Ovis aries: one gene and its partner. The protein of the gene in region 1 interacts with the protein of each later gene in a pairwise test. Links are inferred from orthologs where the notes say so. Each region holds a gene or a part of one and is shown in the gene's direction. Other genes may lie near its edges.

What was found.
Region 2: the proteins of SWSAP1 (region 1) and ZSWIM7 interact in binary tests that used the Homo sapiens proteins (3 or more experiments, as listed by UniProt). The link is inferred for Ovis aries from reciprocal best matches to the Homo sapiens genes SWSAP1 and ZSWIM7.

Annotation. Positions count from the first base shown.
Region 1 is NC_056058.1:13,499,948-13,502,955, forward strand, and holds SWSAP1 (ATPase SWSAP1), read left to right. Parts: upstream 1-847; 5' UTR 848-862; coding exon 863-1,108; intron 1,109-1,643; coding exon 1,644-2,150; 3' UTR 2,151-2,479; downstream 2,480-3,008. UniProt on the Homo sapiens protein: ATPase which is preferentially stimulated by single-stranded DNA and is involved in homologous recombination repair (HRR). Has a DNA-binding activity which is independent of its ATPase activity.
Region 2 is NC_056064.1:33,237,782-33,241,458, forward strand, and holds the start of ZSWIM7 (zinc finger SWIM domain-containing protein 7), read left to right. Parts: upstream 1-726; 5' UTR 727-753; coding exon 754-844; intron 845-2,762; coding exon 2,763-2,784; intron 2,785-3,677. Other genes in the region: TTC19 (tetratricopeptide repeat protein 19, mitochondrial), read right to left, coding at 235-347, 427-595. UniProt on the Homo sapiens protein: Involved in early stages of the homologous recombination repair (HRR) pathway of double-stranded DNA breaks arising during DNA replication or induced by DNA-damaging agents. Required for meiotic progression, hence for fertility.

The DNA of each region.
Region 1 (3,008 bases):
ATTCATTCCTTTAACAAGCCTTTGTGGAGACTCTGCAATGCCCTAAGCACTGTCTGGGCGCTGGAGGTACTGAAGTGAATATGACAAAGAAGGTCCTGCTGTGGCTCTCCCTCAGTCCCCCAGCCCCGGCATCTTTGCCTCTTCTCTCTCTTCTTTCTCTGTCTCTTTTTTTTGTTGTTGTTCTATGGTCCTGCCTCTCATTGTACCCTAAGCAGGACTCAAGAAGCCCCCAGGCCAATGAGGAAGCCAGCTGCGACTCTTCTCACAGACCCTCAAAGGCACTCCTTTGCGGTCTGACGGATGTTCTGCACATGAATATCCTCAAGCTTGCAACCCCAAACACACACACATTTGTGCAAGCATTCATTCAAGTGCAGAGAGAGACAGCGCATAGCTTATCCACTTCTCCCCTTCACTGTCATTAGGTAACACCAGCAGAAGCGCGCGCACACACACGTTCATCGCAGTATTCCTGAGATACCATGTGCTCCATTCTATAGGTGGGCAAAGCTGAGGCTCAGAGATTTTAAGTAATGTGTCCGTGATTAGGGCCTGTTCCGTCCAACTCTCAACCCTTTTATTGTCTGATTAGCTGCTTAGCTCACAATAATAGTGTTCGTGGTGCTTCCGCCAGCGGACTCACTTACGAGAGGGCCTTATCGCCCTGAAACGCCTCCATTTGTTGCTCAAACTAGGTTATTTGCCCCTTCACCAGGGGAGGAGCTAGGAAACGTCGATCTAACTTTGAGGAACAGATTTTTGGACTAATGAAGAAGCTAAGTGCACTGTAACCAATGAGACCCCGCCCTGGGCGGGATTAAGGGCAGGCACCGGCCGCCGATTGAACAGAAGTACGCGGCAAATGGCGGAGACGCTGAGGCGAGTGCTGAACCTGGGCAGCGCGGCGGGCCCCGGGAAGAACACAGCTGAGGCCGAACCGCCTTTGCTGTTGCTCGGCGGTCCAGGCTCTGGAAAGACAGCTCTGCTATTCGCGGCGGCCCTGGAGGCGGCAGGGGAAGGCCGAGGCCCGGTCCTCTTCCTGACCCGGAGGCCTCTTCAAAGCCTGCCCCGCAGGACTGGACCGGCGCTCGAACCACTGCGATTACAAGTAGGGGACCAGAGGCGGACCAGCCCGTAGCGGGGCTAATCGGGGATTGACTGACAGGCGGAGACAGACCAATGGCGGAGACGAAGCAAACATTGTGGGAAGGAATATGGACGAGTTGGGGATGGGACTATACGAAGCCTTGTTAAGATTGAGTGAGAAGCTATCCAATGAGGGGGCAGGATCCACAAATTTGCGTTCCAAGGGGTGGGGTCAGGGGCGGAGCCAAACAAGAGTCCGCGGTGGAGGCGGGCGCTATGGGCAGGTTTTACGTGGAAAGATTGCCCTAGAGATTTGGCAGAAAGGCATACCTGTTCTTAATAATACCAGGCAGTGACGAGTGCAGGGTAAGAAAAAAACGAGGGTAAGGGGTTGGTGAACAGAAGAATATTCGATCCCTCTGAGCTGCTTCACGCTCGAACCAGAGGTCTAGTGGGTGAGAGCCTCGTCCAGGGGAGTATGCAAGGAAGCAGCGCTGCTCTAACTGGAAGCCCCGCTTCCCATGCTGAATCTGGCCCTTTCCTTTTTCCCTTTCTAGAAGATCCGCTTCCAGTACCCACCCTCAACCCGTGAGCTCCTCCGGCTTCTGTGCTCTGCCCATGAAGCCCGTGGACCAGCCCCTTCACTGTTGCTGCTTGATGGCCTGGAGGAATACCTAGTAGAAGACCCTGGGTCCCAGGAAGCCGCCTACCTGGCTGCCCTGCTTCTGGACACAGCTGTCCACTTCAGCCACCGGGTTGGGCCTGGCCGGGGCTGTGGGCTCATTGTGGCCCTCCAGACCCAAGAGGAAGGAGGAGACAGTGGAAATGCTCTGCAGCTGGCACTCCTTCAGAGGTATTTCCCTGCCCAGTGCTGGCTGCAGCCGGATGCAGCAGGCCCAGGACAGTGCTGCCTGCGAGCCTCCCTGGAGCCAGGTGGGCTGGGCCCCAGGGAAGAATGGTGGGTGACTTTTCAACCAGATGGAGAGATGACAATCACCCGATGGCCCACCCAGTTGGTTGACACCAGCTCGCACAAGGGTTCAAGCTCTGGAGGCCAACCATGAGGTTTGGAGTGTGACAACTTCTCTATGCCTGTTTCCCGGTCTGGAACACCTGCGTCAGTTCAGTTCAGTTCAGTCGCTCAGTCGTGTCCGACTCTTTGCGACCCCATGAACTGCAGTATGCCAGGCCTCCTTGTCCATCACCAACTCCCGGAGTTTACCCAAGACAGATGCAAATTCAAAGCCCTTAAGATTGTAAAGTGCTTTTTCGCTCGTAAATATACCATTATCCTGTATATATTGTGCCCAGCCAACATATTGTTGAATTTTTCTGTTTTGAATTTTATAAAGAAGAATTTCATGATAAATGTAATCTGAAACTTCCCTCTCAACACTGGTACTAAGATTCGGCAACATTTTCATTCATTCCTTTTTCCATACTGCATGTAATTCCATGAGTGACTATACCCTACATTAGGTATGATCAGATTGACTTATTTACTACTATTACCATTCATACACATATCCTGGTCCATGTGTGTGAGGGTTTTGTGGGTACATATCTAAAAGTGGAATTGCTGGAATAGAAGGTATGCTTTCCTAGGTTATGTCAAACTTTTAAAAAGCAGTTAAGCCGAAACTTCCAATGAGCCACTTGATTGACTTTTCGTGTCATCAGAGTGCTTTCTTAGAACCAGACTTGGAATAAAGCCTTAGGAATTAATGTTAGTATTAGTGGCAAAGACTAGCTAGCTGCTCATTAAACAGCTCGTCTCTCCTGGGTGCACAGCTGAACTACATTTCCCAGCTGTCCATTGTTCTTACTAGAGTCACATGACCATTTCTAGCCAGCAGAATTTGTGAAGATGTGGCACCCACCTCCAGGCTACATCCCTAAAGTGGCCTACAAAAATCTGCTGT
Region 2 (3,677 bases), on another chromosome or scaffold:
CGCGGTGGGCATGAGGCGGCGGTCAGCGCAAAGGAGGAGACCCGGCACCCCGGGAAGAGGGGAAAACGTTCAGGAAGAAGAGGCCCGCCTCGCTCCCCTCAGCCTGTGCGCACTTCTCCCCGCGCTCGCAACCTCGCAACCGGCAGCGCCGCCTCCACCTGCGCCCAACGCACGGACCCCACGACTCCGTCCACCCGGGTCCCCGTAGTCGAGGGACGTGCTGCAGCCCCTCACCTTGGCTCGCTTCAGCAGCTGGATGATCTCGGCTTCGGCGTCCCCGGCTGCAGCCCCGCCCGCGCCCCGTCGCTCCTGCTCCGCCGCCGCGGGCCTCGAGGACCAGGCGAGCGCTGCAGGAAGGGGCACTGAGGTCACCGTGCTCAGCCCAACCAGCCCGGCCCGCCCGGCCCGCCGGCCTGCACCCCTCACCTGCCAGCAGCGGCAGTAGGCCCGAGCCTCGGCCGCGCGGCGCCCCTCGGCACGGCGGCGCCCGAACTCCCGGCGGCCCGGGCAGCAGGCACACCGGGTAGCAGCGGCCCCGCCGTTCCGCCACCCGCAACAGACCTCGGGCCAGGCCCACAGCCAGACGCCGGTACATGGCCCCCAGAGCGTCCTCTGCGCACTGCGGCCACGGGCTCCGGAAGTCCCGCCCCTGGCGCCGAACGCCCGCCGATTGGCCGGACCGCCCGCATGCGCCGGGACGCAAGTCTACGTCACCTCGCCTTCCTCCCCTGCCCCGGAGAACGCGGGACCGCCATGGCGGCTCCGACTGGGCCTCTCACGTTACCAGCTGTGGTGGAGGAGCTGCTGAGCGAGATGGCGGCGGCTGTGCGGGACGGCGCGCCGAGTATGGGCGGGGGCGCGGGAAGCAGCGCCGGCGGGACGGGGTTCGGGGGTCCGGGCCCACTGGGGAGGTCTCCGCCCTCTTAACTCGCCTGTAGCCCTTCCTTCCCGCGGTCTGTGTTTGTTCCAAAAGGTTCCCCTCCTGACCTCTGTGCACGAGTGACTGTTTCAGGGCCCCAGATGCAGGACTTGAGGGGTCTGGACGCTGTGGCTGTGCCTTTATTCCTCTGACCAGCAGAGGACGCTCTGTGACCAGACTCCCCTGGCCGCAAGCGCACGGGGCCAGAGCGCGTCCCCGTTAGAGCTGGCGCCACCGCCGCCATCTGAATGACCATCCAAAACATCGGTTAGGCTTCAGTGAACCTTGCTGGTTCACTTGGGCGGCGTTTGTTTGCAAAGGACCGCACTTTGAAAAGGATTTACCTTGACTTGTTTTTTAAAGAATTGAGAGGAGGAAGCCAACTTTTCTCATTTCAGTTAAATCTAAAGCAGTACATGTGCTTAAAAGATGAGGCGAGCCAGGTATTCGAACATCCTCTAATCCCAAAAAGCTTGGGGGAGAAACCAGTCTGTTGACAGCTCAAACAGTGGTTGCCAGAAAGGGTTGTGTGTGAAGAGCACAGTGTGAGAGTCTTGAAGGGGGCGCCCCTGAGGCTTGGGGCTCATAGAGACTACTATCACCGATTCACGTTTTTCAGAGCCATTTTCTTCTAGTTAAAAATCTTTGTTCTTAGACAGTCATACACTCTTCCTGAGCCCCCTCCTTCGACGATAATTTTCTTTAGATCAGTATTCTGAGTTTACACTTATATGATGTAAAATATAGTCACAGCTGAGCCATGTAGTAAGTGATGACTACTTCTTTACTGTAACTTTTTGCTTCCTCTCAAAACTGTCATGATTGCATTTGTTTGGTTGTTTACTTTTCTATATGTTTATCCCTAATTCAATAACTTCCTTTTAGCTCAGATGGTAAGGAATCTGCCAGCAATGTAGGAGACCCAGGTTTGATCCCTGGGTCAGGAAGATCCCCTAGAGAAAGAAATGGCAACCCACTCCAGTAGTCCTGCCTGGAGAATTCCATGGACAGGAGCCTGGCGGGCTACAGTCCATAGGGTCGAAAAGAGTCAAACATGACTAAGTGGCTAACACAAACACACACACATCCATAATTCAACTTCAAACTCTTAGCAGTGTTCTGAATCCTCTACTCAAGATGCTGAGGTGTTTTGTCCATTTCATTTTCTTCTAGAGCTTCCAGGGTGCTCTCCTGAGATCTCCCCCACCATTACTGTCTAGGGAATTCCCTTTACCTACTTTGAGCCTTAATGTTTTGTATACTGTACAGTTTTCTTTTTCTCAGTTTACTGTCTTATTTTATAGAGCACATATTCTCCTGTCCTGAGACTTAATTGATAGTTTGGCTAGGTGTTATTGAATTATATGTTGGAAATATTTACTCAGACATCTTAAAGTAGTATTCTACTACCTTCCAACTTAAACTTACTTTCACAGTCTTATTTTAGCCCTCCTGCTTCATTCCCACTCCAGAGCCATCTGGTGCCACCAATTTCTGGAGGGGTTTTTTTTTTTTTAGGGAGTGAGTGTATTAGAGTCTGAAGTGCAAATCAGGTTGTTGCTTGGCTCTCCTATTGCTAACTTGTTTCAGTTTTCTCAGGTCTTGTAAATAATTTTTGAACATATCTTAGCTGTGTTTCTCCCTGTCCTCATCCTTGAGAGTTTATTCATTTTAGAAAATTCTTGTATTATTGTTTAGTGGAATATTGAGTAAAATTTGATGCATAGGTTCAGTTCACCATCTTACACATAAGTCTTTTTGGTTATAATATCCTTTTAAAAATGTTTTTGTCTCTGGTCACTGGTTTAACACAATTTACTTACTTTCCATTCCTGTTTTACAGTTCCTGATGAGCATCTGTTATCGTAAGTATATATCCTTTTGTATTTGGGGTTCTTTATAAACCACTAATGTGTGTTTTTAAAGGCCAGTTCTTTCAACATCAACTCTTTTTTTGTTTTAGAAAATATTCTTACTAAGTTAGGAATAATATTTTATTGATGTGATTGTTAAAAATCTGTCTCAAGTGAATAACCAGCACTGTACTTGACAGTACAAGGCACTCCCTTATTGTCCTAAGTGCCACTGTATTTTAACATTATTCTAAAAGGTGTAACTCTTATACTACTAACACATGAAAAGAGAAGGACATTTGACCCTTGAACAACAACTTTTACACATACACTGCTTGGGGAGGCCTGTTTCCTGAGAGGCTAAGCGTATTTAAGAAATAAAATGTACTAGGTACATACACTAGAATATTATCCAAAAGTTAAATTTTAAAATATATGTTTATGTATATATATACATGCACACATACACACACACACACACACATATATATGTGCATCATTCTCAGAAGCACACTGAATGGGAAAAAAAGTTGCCAAAAAGCCCAGAATATACTGTTCATGTTTTTAACTTAGAAAACATCACCATATGTATATATGTTTGTGTGTGTATGTATGCACATACACATATATACTGTGTATAGTAAAATATAAAAACAATATGAAATGTGTGTGGTTGCCTTGAGAATGAAGAAATTGAGGAAGAACAGGAAGGCCTCTGACATATAAAGAGTCTTCTTTATAAACAACATGTTAACATTTATTCTGGGCGGTCGATTATGTGGGATTTTGCTGTATTATGTTTTTTTCCAAATTAAAATAAATTTTCAGAAGCTGCTGATGGTAATCCTTCGGGTCGAGTCGGAGAGGTGGCTTTCAGTCCATCATCTAACCTGAGGCTCCTCTCC